Arabidopsis thaliana: one gene and its partner. The protein of the gene in region 1 interacts with the protein of each later gene in a pairwise test. Each region holds a gene or a part of one and is shown in the gene's direction. Other genes may lie near its edges.

What was found.
Region 2: the proteins of KCO6 (region 1) and YKT61 interact in a protein complementation assay, tested with the Arabidopsis thaliana proteins (one large-scale study listed by BioGRID).

What each region holds. Positions count from the first base shown.
Region 1 is NC_003075.7:10,051,129-10,060,584, forward strand, and holds KCO6 (Ca2+ activated outward rectifying K+ channel 6), read left to right. Parts: upstream 1-4,250; 5' UTR 4,251-4,567; coding exon 4,568-5,724; intron 5,725-6,264; coding exon 6,265-6,418; 3' UTR 6,419-7,057; downstream 7,058-9,456. Other genes in the region: AT4G18150 (Serine/Threonine-kinase, putative (DUF1296)), read left to right, coding at 1-121, 211-740, 835-1,176, 1,275-1,363, 1,469-1,594, 1,678-2,103, 2,366-2,662. UniProt on the Arabidopsis thaliana protein: Two-pore potassium channel modulating the proton motive force (pmf) necessary to convert photochemical energy into physiological functions.
Region 2 is NC_003076.8:23,495,837-23,505,292, forward strand, and holds YKT61 (SNARE-like superfamily protein), read left to right. Parts: upstream 1-2,302; 5' UTR 2,303-2,440; coding exon 2,441-2,633; intron 2,634-2,781; coding exon 2,782-2,855; intron 2,856-2,915; coding exon of another isoform or gene 2,916-2,923; coding exon 2,924-3,013; intron 3,014-3,102; coding exon 3,103-3,207; intron 3,208-3,423; coding exon 3,424-3,489; intron 3,490-3,700; coding exon 3,701-3,787; intron 3,788-4,224; exon of another isoform or gene 4,225-4,241; coding exon 4,242-4,292; 3' UTR 4,293-4,548; downstream 4,549-9,456. Other genes in the region: SVL4 (SHV3-like 4), read right to left, coding at 1-148, 225-723, 814-923, 1,006-1,302, 1,439-1,550; TIL (temperature-induced lipocalin), read right to left, coding at 4,676-4,861, 4,946-5,320; RR18 (response regulator 18), read right to left, coding at 5,949-6,014, 6,092-7,204, 7,301-7,377, 7,507-7,878, 7,946-8,095, 8,185-8,314. UniProt on the Arabidopsis thaliana protein: May be involved in the secretory pathway. Essential for membrane fusion mediated by either SYP41 or SYP61; triggers the fusion of phospholipid vesicles containing SYP41 or SYP61 and VTI12.

The sequences.
Region 1 (9,456 bases):
AAGGTGTACCTGTGAATAGAAGAGAAAACGGAGCACGTAATCATTTGGCTGGATCTTCTGCATCATCTGGTTTGCTTGGACGCCTACCTGGTTTGCTTAGACGCCAACCACCATCAAACAGGTTCTTACCTTCATGTGGTCTTTTGGTATCTAATTTTCGTAACAATGTCCAATATTTTGTGTTATCTTAGTATCTCCTTTGCATTGCAGTGATCTTCCAAGCTCTAAAGTCAAGAAAGCACCAACGACCCCCAGTGATGCAGTTACTTTGTCTTCGTTGCCTTTTCCTGCGTATCAATCAGCTTGGGCTAGCGCTAACCCTGGGCAAAGAACTATGGCTGAAATTGTGAAAATGGGTAGACCTAACCTGCAGAAGAATGTCGCTTTGCCTCGTTCATCAGAGGCTCAAGAGAGCAGCAGTAAAGCCCCTTTGAAGGATGAATGCCCTTCAATTGAGAAGCAAGACGTTTCTTATCTATCATCCTCTGTCTTGAAACCATCTGCTGAATCTAAGATTTCTTCCGACCAATTTAGTGAGTCTCAACATTTGGATGAGACTCTTTTGGATGACATCCACCGCGAAACAAAAACTTATCCAACTGGGTCTCCTCCTGATGTGGATCACAATCCGCTAGCTTCAGTATCAAGCAGAAATTTGGTTGACGATGAATCTAGAGATTCCTTAGTATGTGACGATGAAAATAACAAAGCTGAAAGACATTCTTATGAGGAAAATCAAGGTGAGATATCCATATTCTCTGTGTGAGTCTTCTTTTTATCTCTTTCTTCCTCTTTGTCATGTTTTCTAATGTTTGCTTTTTCCATTATTTTCAGATGAAGATGTTTCTACTTCTGTTGCTACTGGTTTTCAGCAACTAACTATTTACAATGAAGAAGAGCAGGAAGCATTACCAAAGGAAGAAAAACATGCGGTGATAATCCCCAATCACCTGCAAGTCCATACCTCGGAATGCTTGCACTTAATGTTCGGTTGTTTTTCTTCTGGGATAGGATCTGGTCAACCTAGTGCCTTGAATGATAACTTGGAAGAACCACTAGTAGCAGAGGATGATTCATCATTCAGACATCCCGACACTAACTTCTATGGAGAAGAAGAAGCAGAACAGCCGAGAAATGCTGTTACAAATGAACAAGTGTCTTATCAAATCGATTCAAGTACCCAAAATTATAATTCTGCCACAGATTCTAAGACAGACGCAGTGCAACATGAACCGCCTCAAGAAGTCATCAATACAAGTTTTCGTCTTCCGAAGGTTACAGATTTGAAAACAACCAACTGTTCCATCCTCCATCAGAAACAAATCCTCAGAGGCAGAATCTCGATACCTACCCCAACATAATGGTAAACATCAAACACTATTCAGATTTAAAAATCTATCACACAATCGAAAAGGATCACTGAAAAGATTTTAACCATATCTACTATTTTTTTTTTCTTAATGTGCAGCAGCAAGGATATACAAGTTCGTTACCCAACACTCTACTCCCATCAGGCATTCAAGATGGAAGAGAATCTAATCTTCACTACTCGCCTTTCACAACACTATACAACACTGAAATTTCCATGGCCGAGGTAACCAAATCCCCGTTTCTCTTTCATATGATCTTATTCTAAGCTTTCCTTCAATACCATTGCTTACACAAATTTGATTGCAGGCACTAAGAGCTGCGAGTATTTCACCTCAAAACGCAATACCCAGTGCAGGACAGCAAGCAGCAACTCTTGCACAACATCTTGCCTTAAATCCCTACTCTCATCAGCCTGAGATGCCTTTAGGACATTATGGCAATTTGATAAGCTACCCATTCATGGCACAGTGTTACAACCCTTTCATGCTTTCAGCTTTTCAACAAGTGTTTCCTACTGGTAATCATCAGTCTTTAGTTGATATGCTTATGCAATACAAGACTCAAACAACCGCTCCTCCTGTTCCTCCTCCCTCTGCCTATGGGTTCGGTGGAGGCGCTGTCTCAAGTAATAACTTCCCTTTGAATCCCACAAGTGCTGCAAACTCCTACGAAGATGTCTTGAGCTCACAGTTTAATGAGAGCAACCACTTGGCATCATCTCTTCAGCAGCAGGTAAACCATGAAATTCTTCTCAGGTTTTATAATCATGTTGGTGTGTTTTGGTTCTGTTTGGTTTCCTTCCTCTGTTTAGTCAGCTGGAATTTATACTGGAGTATTCGATTTTATTTATTTTTGTTCGATTTTGGATGGGTTTGGCTCAGTTTTGAACTGTTGGATTTTAAGAAAATCGGTGCAGTTTGGTTTCTGTTATTTGTGCGTTCTCTTTTTCGCAAACCTTAACGAGTAGCTTTCTTTGTTTTGCTTTGATCTACAGAACGAAAAAACAACAGCATGGCATCAAGGACAACAAGCCAACTCGCGAGTGGTTCCAGGAAGCGGATATTACAGCTACCCTGGTCATCAGAATCAGCAGCCTCCCGGTTTCCGTCAAGCCCAACAACTGCAACATCAGCAGCAGTCGTCTCAACAACAACAACAACAACAACATTATGGAGGACATGGGTATGTGAGTCCTTACCATTCACAAGCTGTAATGTCACTAGAACATCTTCATCACCAATACCAACAACAGCAAAACGCTAGAGACGCGTCGAAACAGTCCCAACAATAGTTATGGCCCAACAACTACTGATGAAAAGCAATCCATTCAAATCCTTCTTTCCCCCTTATTTTCATCTCTCATTCCAGAGCAGCGATGGGATGATTCCGTTGTTTGAAAATGGCGTTGTGTTGTGTGTGTGTTTAAGGTTCAGGGTAGGGTCTTATGAGAGGGTTTTGTGAGAGAACCTTCAATGGGTTAACTTGTTTACTTGCTAACCTTCTTATATTACTAAAAAGAACTCTATTTTTCTTTCTTGTCTGTTTCTTATCATTTTACTTTTTAACTATTTAGTCTTGACATTCTATATCAGACCAAACTTCATAGTAAAGATTATTAAGCTTAGCATGTCCTGACTAACCTGCGTCATATTAAATAGTATGGAAAGAGAAGAAAAATTTGAAAACAGAGAAATTCAATTACTATTTACACATTTTGACGGTGTGATTATGCTAATTTATCTACTATTAAATAAGTTGTGTATAATGAAGAAAGCTAATCAAATCATGTGTTCTTTGTTTGGTACTAGTCTACTACACAATATTTAATTGGATAGTATAGTTAATAGAGAGATGTGTACTTATCTAACTCTGGAAAACCACGTCATGTGAGATTTGTTAACAAAACGACACATTTTGCCGTTTTATTTGTTTTCAGCTCCAAAAATTCAAGTCATCTCTGTGTTTAAAAATTTTAATATGAGAGAGACGCTGTACCTTTTTGTCAAACATAGTTGACACTTTAATTCGGTCGAAGTGTTTACTGGAATTCAAACTTACAACTTCGACCCCTCCATTTTAAAATTACGGTTCCCAATGGTGACGAAACCGCACGTTGCAGTACAATTTTAATACTCCCTCCATTTTTATTTAGTTGATGTTTTAGGAGAATACACATGCATAAAAAAATTATTTAACTTTTATCTATTTTAAAACTAAAATATCATCTATTATTTAATCAACCAGTAGAAAAATAATCTGCAAAAAAAAATCATTAAAATCAATAAAAATACAAATAATTTTCCATTGAAAATTTAAAACATCATTCCTTTAAAAACAAAAATAAAAGTTTAAAACATCATTACGGAAAGAGTAGTAACAAAATTTTCTGAAATTGCTAGAATTTTAGGGCCACAATCAATTGCTTCTTTTTATTTTGCTCAGTTACAATATAATAATACAATGAAAACTACATCGCATTTGATATGTAGTTAAACCGTATATCTCCATTCGGAACTTATTTATCTGATCTATAATGTCAATTAGATTTATTATTCGGAACACAATTCATATAAATGTTAGTTTTAGATAAAATTTTAGAGAAAATATGAAAGGAGCCAAACTCAATCTTAGACTTAATAAAGAGTATTTTTCCACAAATAGTTACAAGAAAACCAATTCAATTATTAGCAGCATGTGTAATGTGTGCAATCTAGTAATCTGAAATAGAATAACAAAATCGGTCTGGATATATTATTATTGAAGAAGATGCCATATTATTAATTATTATAAAAAAAAGATGCCATATTAATTTTAAAAAATAGCATGTTATATAGGTTCTTATAGTATCATATGTAAATGTTTCTTGTTTTTTGTGCAAACCGCATCAAATCATTATTAAATGAATATCAGTATATAACCTTTGATTTCTCTCTAAAAAATGTTAATAGCCACAAGAAAAACTTAAGAAAGCGCCATTTCTGCTTCTTCTTACTTCAATCCTTTGCGAGAGAGAGAGAGAGAGAGAGATAAAGTTTCTTCCTTTTTCCCACGTTTCACGTTCCTCCTCTTACCTCTTTCTCCTTCGCTTCAATCCCTTCAAGTTTCAGTCTTTAGATCAAACCAAAAAAAAAAAACGATCTTTTTCCGATAATTCAGTTAACTTCAATCGGAAAACCATTTCCAGTTTTCCGGCGAGATGGCCAACGAAGGAAGTGACCCTTTACTTCAATACATGATTAGCCCGAGATTGAAAAAACCTCCACAGCTGCTGTTTCCATTACCAGAAGACAACGAAGTTGCGATTCCGATGCCGATGACACCGTCGGAGTTCAAAGAGCGTTTAATCTTCGGACCCTTTTCATGTTCGCCGCGAGATTCGTCTCACTTCATCGATTCCATGAAACAACCGTCACCGTCGTCTTCTTCAACCGCCGTTAATAATCCTTTCTCCGATTCCTCAACCCTAGATCCTCTGCTTCCACCACCACCACCACAACCAGAGCCATGGTTGTCCGATCAAACTTCGAGTCACTGTCAAGGCCACGCTCTTCACCGATCCAAAACAGCACCAGCAATGGCTGTAATCAATGATCTTCATCACCCAATTCGTCAAAAAGATCCTACAGAGACGTCACGATCTGTAGTAAGACAAGCTTTTGCTCTTCTCGTTGTGTATCTCTCTCTAGGTGTGCTTATCTATTGGCTGAATCGTGATCACTACGTTGTGAATCAAACCCATCCTGTAGTTGATGGATTGTATTTTTGTATCGTTACAATGTGCACCATTGGTTATGGAGACATCACTCCAAACAGTGTGGTTACTAAGCTGTTTTCGATTATGTTTGTGCTTGTTGGGTTTGGTTTCATTGATATTTTGCTTAGTGGGATGGTCTCTTATGTTCTTGACCTTCAAGAGAGCTATATGTTAGACTCTGCTAAGCGGAGAGATGAGCCTGAGAAGAGGAGATCTTATATAATCGATGTCAAGAAAGGGAGAATGAGAATTAGGTTGAAAGTGGCTTTGGCATTAGGTGTTGTGGTTTTATGCATTGCTGTTGGTGTTGGGATTATGCATTTCATTGAGGAAATCGGGTGGTTGGATTCGTTTTATCTCTCGGTTATGTCGGTTACTACTGTCGGGTATGGAGATCGGGCTTTTAAGACATTGCCCGGTAGGCTTTTCGCTGCGATATGGCTGCTTGTGTCTACATTAGCTGTGGCTCGAGCTTTTTTGTACTTGGCTGAGGCGAGAGTGGATAAGAGGAATAGAGAACGGGCGAAGAAAGTGCTTTGTGAAACAATGTCTGTCTCTCAGTTTTTCGCTGCAGATATTGATAACAATGGCTGTGTGAGGTAATTTGACTCATTCCTTATCCATATTATATGCTCTGACACACTCCTTAAGGTTTTAAGAATCTTAAACTGATATCTGAATTAACTGTGTGATGCTTATGTTTGTTAAAATATCCATTGTGACATCCGTAATGTTTATGCATTTCTTAGAAGTCATCCAAAAGATTTTGTCTTTGCTATTTATTATTAGTCTTTTAATTTTCGTTTGTGTAGAGGATCTTTGAAAACAAAAACATTCATAGCTCATTAGCTAATTAGATTCTTGAAGGTGTTGGATTTCTAAGTTAATTCATATTCTGCACTTCTTCTTATGAATCTTTTTGTTCAAGAACATAGTTTGTGGTCTTAGGCTAAGTTGAAGATCTGTGAATGTGTGATGCGAAAGCATCGTGTCATTGTATGTTTTCGGCTTGATATAAAGTTTGAATGACCATGAAAGGGAGGCTTAGACGCATTTTCGGATTTAACACAGAGAAATGCTTTGCTTGTATACTCACTCAAACCTGAGATATCTTCTGGTTTTTTTCTTTGTTTTTGCAGTAAAGCAGAGTATGTGATATACAAACTGAAGGAGATGGAGAAAATAACCGATAAGGACATACTACCAATCTCCAAACAGTTTGACAAACTCGACCGATGCAGCAACGGAAAGATCACTCTTTTAGATCTCTTGGAAGGTGGCAGTGGCGATTGATCAATCCTCTGCAACTTTTTGTTTTAGCTTAGAATTACAGTTACTAATTACAACGGATCAACGATCCTAATGATGCTAATGGTGATGATGAGGAGTCCAGTCTCCAGTTTATGTAAACTGGTTTGGACCGATATTATGTCTTTGGTCTTGTCTTGCATAATTGGTTAAGCAGGATTCACTGATTCACATCACCAAAAGTTATCCTCTCCTTTCTCACCCAAGATTATGAAGAGGAATTGTGGGATTTTATCTTAACCGGTTTGATGTGTTGCCAAATGGTTATGTGATCGGTTTACTCTGGTACGATGAGATTTTGATGACCCCCTGTAATTTTTGCAGATATATGGGCTCAAGCCTCAAGGTATATAAATTTGGTTGGATAAGGTTTGATCCAAATTTGTTGGTCCAGTATGCAAATAAAACTGTAACTTTCAAGTTCCAATCTAAAATATGTAAATTCGAATTTCTTATCAACAGTTTTAAAAGAGTTTTACTGATACATCATCAGCTTTTTCATATTAGTTCTTTTCCAGTTAAAGAGAATTTCAATTCGCATTGTAATGTAATCGACCATGTATAGTTACTCAACATATTGATGTCCTAATATCAATACCAATTAATGAAAAATTTAGTCTTTTCGGTTATTTGTTTTTAAATGCATTTTCTTATTCTTGATAATCTATACACAAATATCATATATATTAAATTAATCAGCTGTAACAACTCAAATTTCAGAAAGAGGATAACGTGTGTGAAAGAACAGAAAATACAAGAGATTCCTTTTTATTCATATATATTTTATATATACTAACATGAATAATAATGATAAAAATGTCACACATGACAAACCTAACAACAAACCTGCCCCAACTATTCTATTCCAAAGCTAAAGTCAACAATTTCACTCTCTTTCTTTTTATTCTTCTTTACGTTAAATTGAAACTTAAATAATGTAATAATTATGTGTTTACTAGAAAGTAGAAATAAATTTCATAATAATATCTTTATATGTTAGGCACAAATCCCCAAAAATAGGTCAGACATTTCAACTGCAGACAGATACAGTTATGTATACGTGTAATTGTAAGCTAATGTTTTTTTTTCACTTACAGGTTACAAATTACATAGAGGTCCACGGTCTAACTTTGGGTAATTTAAATGTGGGGCTTATGGATAAGACAACGCAAACGATTAGGCACCAATTACGGCGTTTAGTTTCTGCCTAAATTAAAACTATAAATGTGTATTAATATATATCTTAGTATGCATTAATGTGGTTAGGTACGAGAAACAGATTCATATACCACCATTATGGCATTATTATAGTATGCAATAGAAGATTGAATATATATTTGACTTCGAAGATTGAATTTTTTTTGGTTTAGAGATTATTCTATTACTCATATGGAATCTGATAAGAGTTGCTGTTTCTCTTTCCCAAATTAAAGTATGTATACGCCTTGATGTTCTTGGTCAAATGTGAATGGTTAATGTCTCTTTTGGTTCAAAGAGAATTATTCGGTCTTCTTAATTATTTCGACCAAAGATTACTAGATTGGTATTGATTTTCTCGAAAACGTTTTTCATCGTAGTTTGTTTTGACCAAAAAGCGTTAAAAACATGGAAATTATTATGCCCTTCTTTCATTGATCAAATTTTTATATACCAAAGCCATAGTATTTTGATTCATTCCAATATTTTATACTGAGTATCACTGAGACACTGACTATATATATGTATGTATTCTCGCGCTATCCGTAATATGCTAGGTAATATAGCAGTGATTATTAAACGCATTAAGATCATCATACGTAATTCACGATAATTTGTAATCCAAAAACTTAGGTGTGACCAAAAAAAAAAAAAGAGTTGAATCCTTCACCTACCAAAAAAATGGATTGTGACCAAAAGACCATGACATATCAAATTTTTAGTGATTAAACCGATTTCTTCCAAGATGCTAGTATTTGTTTTTATCTTGCCATATTTTAGTGATTTTTCATAGTAGTAAATATATCACTTTGACCACATTTAAAGTTGATGTATGTCCCCTTCGCATTTGTCATGTCGGTTAGGCATTATATGTCTCCTTTTTTCCTGATCATATGCTCCTATCAATTTCTACAAACTCATGAAAACGATTACTAGCTATATAAATCAAGCATAGGGTTCATAACATGCAACTTTAATTCCCCACAATTATCGCAAATAAAATTGTATATAAAGGGTTTATCGTAATTATCATAATGTTAACATTTTCATAATATAGATACTTTTGGTTTGACCATCTTTTCCTTAATATAAGTTAATAAATTAAGATGCTCTTTTACTTGCAAACAGAAAGTTCTAATGTGAAAAAGAAATTGTTATTGCGTAATCATGATCTCACTTATCCGTCAGCATAAGTAACGATCCACTCCACATAGCTACGTCACTTAAAGTCCCATAGTAACTAATTTTCTTTGAATGTTATAGCAAATTATTAGCAATGTATGATTCTTTGGGTCAAATCTTACACTAAAAACATGAAAATAATTTGAATATCAAGAGATTCATATATTCATATTTTATAACCAAAATATGTAGGGTCTAAATTATTGCTTCTTGACTAGGAATTACCTATGAATAATTATTAAGGTTCGTGAAACAGTGAGGGAAAAAGAAGAAGAAGAAGAGAAGACAGTCTCTAGCACGTGCCAGGTCATGTGTCGGCGACGGTCAAATGCCGGTGCAAGTGTTTCCACGTGGCAGCCTAATACTCCCAAAATATAATCTTTTGTTTTCGTAAACTTTTTTCCCTTTGAATCTTTGACTGCCTCTTACTGCATTCTTCACACCAAACGACCGGCCGGTGACTGAGTGTTTCCGGTTTCCGGTAACACATAGTCTTCGCTGACTAAGACTCCTTCAATAACGTCGTCTTCTTCCACGCGCCGTTTAGTCGTAGCGCGTGTTATCAAGCCCGTCCACTATATATGCCACGTATAGAGTGGGGAAGAAAATGAAGGTGAGAACTTTTCATGTCCTACTTTTTGGCC
Region 2 (9,456 bases), on another chromosome or scaffold:
GAGCAGTCAATTATGTCTGCTCCATCGTCGATTGCTTTCTGGTAAGCCAGATCAGTGCAGCCTGGATAGTCTCCGCTTGCTCCATTGTGAGTTATAACCAATGCATGCCCTGCTTTGGGGAGATTGCCGTTTTGGTGAGAAAAGCAAGCTGCAAGAAAACAGACGCTTTAGCTTCTTCTTAATAATCAGCTATCTGAGGAAACATATATAGCAAGTCATCTCACTGATTGATTGTGATGCTGTTGGCGGGAAATCGGTGATGACACCATCAACAGAGAACTGGCCATTGTCCACAAACTGGAGATACTCAGCAGAGGGATCATAGCTGTAGTTAAAGCTGGTGCGCAAGTCGTTGGCAAACCCTGAAGCATAGACCTCTAGACCGGCTTTGTGAGCATCAGCCACAAAAGTGGTGGCGGGCTTAAGGTACTTAGCTGAGTCAATGGGCCAAATGTAGTCTTTGGGCACAAGAACGCCTGAAGCAAAGGCCTTGATGGCTGCGAGGTTCTGCTGAATCTCGCTGTACTTCTTGTTGGTGGTGGGCTCAACTGCCTCGGGGTCTTTGAACTCAAATATGAGCTTTGTCTTGGCCCTGCCCGCGTCCATCCCGATGCTCTTCAAGAAACCAATCTCTGGAGATGAGATGACATTAATGCCGCGGAATCGCAAGCTTCTCAGGTACTCGGCTGGGCTCAGCTTGTGTTCCATGTAGAAGGCATCGTACTGCACATTTGCATTGTTTGTTGTTTTGATGAATCAACAAAAAAGCTCCATATGTTGGTTAATCATGTTCTCAAAGAGAAGAAAACATACCTGAACGCTCAACCAGAACTTGGGAGGCTTGGTTCCAAGGACATCCTCCACTGCAGAAACCGACATTTGGCCGTCGAAGATGCTAGGCCGAGAGAAGATGTTCTGGACCACTGCTCAATAATACAAAACATGAAAATGTGTGGTGGTGGTGGTGAGCATTGAAGGGAGGAAATGAAAGAGAAGAAGACATACGAGTGACTTTGTTGAATATGGTGTCGGCATCGTAATCAATGACAAACCAGCCCTTGAGGTCCTGACCGTTGACCTTGTAGGTCTTCTGGGCTTTGGGGAAGACCGAGGAGATGGTGGTTGCATTGTCAAGTCTGATATCTGACAAGCAAAGGCCCACACCGTCCTTAGTCATCTGAAGGTTGCACAACATTGTGAAGCCAGGCGAGCTGGTGCCAATAGCCAAGTCGTTTGCAGAGATGCTTGACTCAGGGAAAAGACCCGAGAAGCCCCCTCTGGCCACAACGGCAGGCTCTTGTCCTGGAAGACAAAAGACAGGTACGGATTCTTAGAAACAAACAAACAACATGGTATCTTAAGTCTTAACATTAAACAACAACAAAAAAAAAAACATGGTAGTATGCAATATGGGCATACTCTGTAAAAGGATGCTTACCGTTAAGGGTAAGCCATTTCTTGGCAGGAACAGCTGCGGCAGCAGCAGGAGTCTTGGGTGCCGCAACAGAAGAGTGTAAGAAAAGGGAGAAAAGAATGAAAAACCTCAGCATCTCTATCTGATTGATCCTGCATTTGTGTGTAACGTACGTACCCCAATGGAAAAGCAAAGTCAGGATACATGTAACAAAAACAGAATTGTCACATTTAAGAAAATTGTGAAAGAGAGATCTTACAGCGAGAAAAGAACATGAATCCCCTCTCCTGCTTGTTTTCCTCGTTTAGTTAGAGGAAAGGAAAAAGAAGAGAAAGAGGAGATGGGTCAAACAAGGTTAATTAATGGTAAAAAAAAGTAACTTGCTCTCATATCCTCCATTTATGGCCATTTACTCCTTTCTATTTTTATCTCTTCTTCTCCACCATTCCCTTCTTAACCGCTTTTTCTTTTTTTGATGCTTTCTTACATCTTCTTTGCACAAATGGGTGTAACACCCCTCAGTTTTGGACTTTGTACTATATTCATTTGTCATACATGTATGTAGTTAAAATGACAATATTAGAGTTTGGCATTCGGACCAAACCAAGTTGTCCGATCTAAACCAAACCAATATTCCGTTAATAAGAAAACTCGATTGGCAAAAATTAAAATATTCTTTGGTTTCAGTTTTTGCCTAGACTTAAAATTCTTAAAAATCCAATTCTATGTGATGGAAAAATCTTTGATTCCGGTCCAATTCTGCATCAATATATGCTAAACCGAACCGAGACTGCCCACATAAAATTGAATTGAACCAAAGGTTTTTAATTTTTACTTCAACATAGCGAATAAGAAAAAGAGGGTATATATTCATTATTCAATGTTAATGAGAAGGCGTCTGCGTTTGGTTCGACACCTCAAAACTTGTTTTGCCTTTAGCATCTCCGAGTAAGGAATCCAGGTCCAAAGCCTCTTCTCTTCCTCCTCCTCGCTTCCTTCTCACGCAACCTTGGATCCACCGCAGCTATGAAGATCACCGCCTTGCTCGTTCTCAAGTGCGCTCCCGAAGCTTCTGATCCCGTCATCCTCTCCAACGCTTCGGACGTCTCTCACTTCGGTTATTTCCAGCGATCTAGCGTCAAGGAGTTCGTCGTCTTTGTCGGTCGCACTGTCGCTAGCCGAACCCCTCCTTCCCAACGCCAGTCTGTTCAACACGAAGGTTCTTCTCCTTCTTCTTCTACCTCTCTAGATCGATTGTTTTCAAATCTTCTTTCTCCCGGATCTAATGCAATCTCCTTTCCTCTTTGATTTTTATTCGATTTCTAAATTCGGATCGGCTTTTCGATTTTGAAACTTTTATGATTTAGGATGTGCACCGTTTCTGATTCTAGATCTTCCTGGACTATGCCCCGGCTTTAATTTCTTGCGATTCTATCTTATTGTTCTAGTCCTCGAATTTGGGATAATTAGGGTTCGTGTTTTTATTTTGTTTTTGGTTTAGAGTACAAGGTTCACGCTTACAATAGAAATGGCCTTTGCGCGGTGGGTTTCATGGACGATCATTACCCTGTTCGAAGTGCTTTCTCTCTTCTCAATCAGGTAATATCATTATGTTGAAAGTGGTTCTCAATGCATCATTCGTAAGTTTTCCTGTAATTTGGGTTGCTTGACATTTAATTTTGTCTCAGGTCCTAGATGAGTACCAGAAGAGTTTTGGTGAGTCATGGAGGTCTGCAAAAGAAGACTCCAATCAGCCTTGGCCATACTTAACCGAAGCTTTAAACAAATTTCAGGTTCTTCACTTGTGCAACTGTATTCGCTCTTTTACTGTGAATTTTGTTAAAACTGTAGTTATATTAAGCTCAGTTAGGTGGACATTAGAATCCAATCGAATGATTCATTCTTCATGAATTAATTTTAGTAGCCCCCATTGTTTTATGACCATGTTGGATTTTGAGTGATTTGATCTTAAATTGATTTTGGGATTGTCCCGTATTTGTAATCTTCAGGACCCAGCAGAGGCTGATAAGCTGTTGAAAATCCAGAGGGAGTTGGATGAGACAAAGATTATCCTTGTAAGTGCTGTCTCCGGTCCTTTCTTGTAGACCCTTATACATAAGCGGTACTTCCTTTTCTAAGTTTCAGTATACTTGCCAATTATACATAAATGCTGTTCTGTCGGTGAGTTTACTTTCTTCTGAAAAACACCAAAACAAGAAGAAAGTCTTGGTAGTTATGATGGATGTCCCTGTCTCCGTAAGACTGATTTTTTGTTCTGTATTGTAGCATAAAACCATTGATAGTGTTCTAGCCCGTGGTGAGAAGCTGGACAGCCTAGTGGAGAAGAGCTCAGATTTGAGCATGGCATCACAGGTAACATTCTAAAGTCACATTCTAGAAATTCTTATAGATTTAGTTTCCTTTTTTCCCTGTCTCGATCTCTGAGCATAGTTGGTGAACACGTTAGAAAGGGTTGTTGATTTAGCAGGCTTATAAGTGTTGTTGATTGATAGAGGAACTATTGCATGTTATTGTTGGGGTAGATAAATAGAGGAAGAATGTGGATTTAGAATACCTTCTTTGAAAAAGCTTTCTGCTTCAGCCTGCAGACATTTGAGTGCAGTTTGAACTATACAGTTGGATTTTGGAATTATTAGGTTTGCTACGAAGAATCATAGTGTTTTTTGCTATATCATCTGACCATGGGGAGGAACATATGTATTAGTCATATCCTCTGGAATCTCAAGATATTCTTCGTTATTTAGATTAGGTAAACCATGTTTACTTCCAACATGAAAATCTGATTTGGTTGTATTGGTTGGAACAGATGTTTTACAAGCAAGCGAAGAAAACAAATTCATGCTGTACTATTCTGTGAGCTGGAAGTCCTGCTGGGTATATAGTCAACCAAACTTTTGCTGGGGGGAGACTGTTTTTTCTATCGTCTTATCTATACATATAATTCCGTCTGTAGTTTGCATGCATTATTTTGATTCCATAAGTCTCGAGTCGTGTGGTGTGTTTATCCAAATACATAATGTCAACTTCTGCAAGATTTGAATTGTCTTTCCCAGATTTGATCTGATTGAATTTGTGTGCGCTTCCTTATGGTAAAAGAGACGACTTTGCATAACTAGATGAAGATGTCGTAAATAGACAAAAGCAGATGATGGAAGATAACTAGAGTAGACAAAGGGGGTAGTATATTACACAGACAAAAGGATCAAAGAGGTGAAACAAAGTCTTTGTGTGCCGTGTAATCTATTTGCCGAAGAGAGATTTGAACCACCAAACGCCCTTGGAGTCTTCAGGGGCAGTGTTGGACTCAGGTGGTGTGTCACTCTGAGGAGTCTTGTGAAGCTTGCTGATGTCATAACCTTCCTCCACTGCCTTCTCCACCAGCTGCTTATACGTCTCTTCCTCCATTTGCGCCGTCCTGCTCAATATCTACACCACCCACATATACAGAGTCAATCATTTTTGGGATCAATTTCGATTATTCGTTAAAGAGAAAAAAAAAAGAGTACCAACCCAGAGATAACTCCTGGAAGGCTGGCCAATGAGAGCGTGCTGGTAGTCAGGATCGATGTAGAGCACCCAGTAGTCTCCGGTGACGGGAATGATTGGGAGGAAAGGAGGGACATAGAACTTGACTTTGAGCTTGGCTTCGTCGCTTTTAGGATCGGCCTTATAGGCGCTGCCTTCGATAAAACCCCTCTTCCCGTTGCTCCACGTTTCGTTCAAGACGTGTATGGTACCGTCGGGGTTAAGGGTGTAGGTGGCGCGAGTGTCGACGCCGTTCTTTGGCTGAAACCTTGATGGGAAAGAAGCAATCTCGTACCAACGGCCCATGTATCTCTCCACGTTGAGCCCTTTCACCACTTCCATCTCTTTCTTCTCTGTCATTTCTCTTCTTTTTCTTTTCTTCTTCTCTAAGATTTCGATGTTTTCTTTGAGGTAAAAGGATAAGAAGAGATTCTGTTCTTTATAAGGAAATAAAAAAATAATATCAAGGAGATTTCGCTGGGACGAGAGGATGCCACGTGGAAAGCGTGTAGGGCAAGGGTTCTAGTAGCGTCTAGCAGTTACAAATGTGAATAAAGGTGGAGGACACAAATGTCTTCCTTGTTCTGTGGGAAGAAGGATACAATACAATGGGCCATACAGTCACATTTTGATTTGACTTCCTCTAGCCGTTTCTAGGCCCCACCAAATTATCCTATCGACATCTAAATATCTCTTCTTGTTGACACTTCAAAATAGCTCCATATGTAAACCAACGATCTCAATTAGGCCCATTACTATTCGTATATTGGTTTTGAATAACAACACTTATTCAGAAACTTTATAAAATAAATTTTTGTAACAGGCTCGCTTTCAATTCCAATTCATAAAAGAGAGTATGAAACAGGTTGGTGTACTATGATCTATTGACAGTCGGAGGAAACAATGTGGGAAGAAATTTAAAAAAATCACATGAAAATGGTCTCAAGTGGAGAAACTTAATGCAACTGGTAGAGAAAGAGATGACTAGCTAAGGTGGAGGAAATGAATCAAAGCCAAATCTAGTAGCCACTGGCACCATTCCGTTATTCTCCTCCTGCAACAAACACATTCACTTTCATTTTCTACAAACTACAAAAGCTTTTAATCCAATCAAGAAAACAACCGCGTTACCTGTTTCATCATCTCATTCATTATGTCATCGAATACATCATGCTGGTTGTCATTCTCTGGCTTTCCCGACTTCATCTCTGGATCCAGCATTGTAGTAGCTTTTCCAACATACTCTTGACTGTTGTCTATTGGGTTCATCAGTGACTCATCCAAGCCTTTGCTTCTGGTTGAATTGTTGTCTCTGAAAACCATGTTATCTGCGGGTAGAGGATACTCAATGTTACCGAATGGATTGTTCAGCATGGTGCAGTTCTGTTGCTCCCATTTCTGTCCGCCTAACGGATTCACGTTCTGCATGAAGCCGCCAAGTAATTGAGGATCACACTGCATCTCTCCACCAGGATTCTCTGCAGAAACCAAAGAAGTACAATCTCCCAGATTGTTCCCTGCACATGTCACTTGATCCGGCAAGAAAGCAAGATTTAGTGGTAAGGAACTCGGTGGGAATCTGGTTGTGTTCAAATTCCCTTGCCAGCTATGACCAGGAAATCTAGATAAGCCTTGGAAACTGATGTTTGGGGAGGCAGAGTTGGACGGAGTTCCCTCGATGCAAGGCTGAATTCCATCTGAGGCTATATGCAGGGGTTGTGTATAGTTTGCTTGCAACATTAGAGGATTGGTGGAAGCACTTGGTAAAGAGGTGCTAGAGCTACCAAATGGCATACAAGTATCTAGGAAGCTACCGCCAATAGCTCTGTCCCCTAAGCCTTTAAAATCTCCAATGTATGACTTGCTTCTAGGAAACTGGAGGGGTTCTAGTGGAGATGAAGTTCGCTGAAACAGATTCACGTTCTGGATTCTTGGTGACAGAGTACTGTGATATGTTCCAAACGGATTAGCTGAATTGCTTGAGTTCTGGTGATGCCCCTGTTGGATGAAGCTGGAGGAGTTCATTCCTTGGAGATTTATCGATGAATACATAGGGGGTTGGAGTTTGGTGAGATGGGAACGCGATAAGAGTCCTGAGCTTGGAATTTGTCTTGCGGCAGTAAAATCTCTAAGTCCATCAAGTTGAGCCATCTGAAAGTAAGATGAATCTCTTGTTCCAAATGCATCTGGGGTCATATTTTGCTGCTGACCTTCGTCTATCTTTTTCAAGTACAGTCTGTACTTCTGCAACCAAAACCAGAGAATAAAACAAGTCTAACCATCCAAGATTATATTTGCGAAAGAAGGGGAAAAATGCAAGAGAGAATGGGGAATTAGTACCTGCAAATGACTGGCTACGTTTTCCCTAGTGAGACCTTCTATACTCATGAGATCAAGTATTTTTTTGGGAACAGCCTCTGTGATGAACACAAGGAGAAATGAAAAGAGGATCCCACACATGAAAGCATCAAAATAACTCTATAGGAGAAACAAGAGTGGACATCACACATAAGGAAAGGTTTAAAGAGGTCTATGGGGAAACTCACTGTCGAGGCCCAATTGCTGAACGGCACTGACAAACTTCTGGTGAAGCTCCTGAGACCAAACAACACGTGGCTTCTTCCGCGTACCTGACCCGTCACCATCCTGTTCACTCCCCTCACCATCATCCTCTTCTCTGTCACTGTCATCTTCATCACCACTGTCATTGACTTTGTCTTTCCGTTTCCTGCTGGCGCTTGGGACGGAATCAGATTCAGAAGGTGGGAGCAGTTTTGCGTAAGATTTAATGTTCTTCTTCACAACATGATGCCATATATTCTGAAGCTCCTTGAGTCCAACAGGCTTGACCAGATAATCGCAAGCGCCATGTATAATACCTTTCATAACGCTGTCATAGTCGCTATGAGCTGACAACACTGAGACAATGAAGCAGGTTACAATAAGGGCTAGAGTTGATATGAAAAACAATGGTAGGAGACGTACTGATGACAGGAAGGTCCATTTCAAGACCAATTTCAAGCAACTTAAAACCATCCGTGTCTGGCATCTCTACATCGCTTATCACCAGATCAAACATGTTGCTGTTTTCTCTCAGCATTTCCAGAGCTTTCCTCGACTCCATTGTCTTTGTCACTGGCGTAATCAATCAAACATCATTGACCATGCACCCCAATTCCGAAGCAGACAGGTAAAAAAAAACAAAAGCAAAGAATATGTAGTACCATGATACTTGCAACGAAGCAGCAACTCTTCGAGTTTCCGAAGGCAGGTTGGATTGTCATCCACAGCAAGAACCCTCATTCCTACAGGAAACTTGTCATGCCTTCCATCTTCAGTGCTTCCAAACTCCATATTTGATGCAATACGTTTGCAAGTCTCCTCTCTTCAAAGGAATATAGTACATAGACTAAAATCTGATCTGTTTTATTCTTAAAACCTCAAGTTTGGGACTAGAAGAAGACCATAGTCCTCCTATAGACAAATGTAAAAAGATAAAGACGAGTGGCCCAAAAGAGAGAGTGATTACGCGGTTAATCTGGCCCTTAATTCTCCAAATAATTAGAAATTTCCTTCTGTTTCTGCTCATATTTCCATAAATGAGGACGTGGAGAGAGTCACATGTTCCTCTAATTTCTCTTTTGTTGGTTGAATCTTGCCTTATCTGAGCACAAAAGACAAACTTTTCGTAAAGTGAATGTAAATGTCCCCATTTTGTTTCCTTACTCGCAAATAAACGTTCAAACCCAACGTTTCAACCTTTCCTGGCTTTCCTTATATATATGCATTTCCTATTTTCCATAGAAATGTTTTTCCTTTTTAGTCTTCTAAGTGAATGCACCAAAACAAAACAAAAAAAATCTGATTTTTGACATAACGCGTATGGTCTCAGTTCCAAAAAAAAAGAGAATTCGACAAATGCAATGGACTGACCTGATCACATTCAGGCATTCGAATCCGTCGACTCTTATTACTCCACATTCTTAGTCAATCGTCATACTTGTGATTACTCTGCCATTTTCTTGATTATTCTATCTGAAATCACAACCAATGTGAAAACTGCGTCACAGATGATTGTTGCTGATGAGTCTCCAACAGTCTTAACTTTATCCATCACCAAACCCTTGGAACTATGCACCACTCCAAAAAATAGTCTTTGATCTGATTTCCACTACCACAGAGACTTATTTTCCAGTTTCCTTCCATTTGAAGAAATCGACAACTCTGTGATCTTCTTATACTCAGATTATTATTACCATTCGATTTCTTCAAATGGAAGGAAACTGGAAATAAGTCTCTGTGGTAGTGGAAATCAGATCAAAGACTATTTTTTGGAGTGGTGCATAGTGCCAATTGGACTCAAAGATTAAGAAATTAGATAATCGTCTCCTAGTTTCCTATCTAGAAGAACGAGAGCAAGGAGAAAGGGAAACTTCATATGAAGAATTGGAAGTTGTACAAATCTGTAGTACTATAGATGTCTAAAACAACAAAAG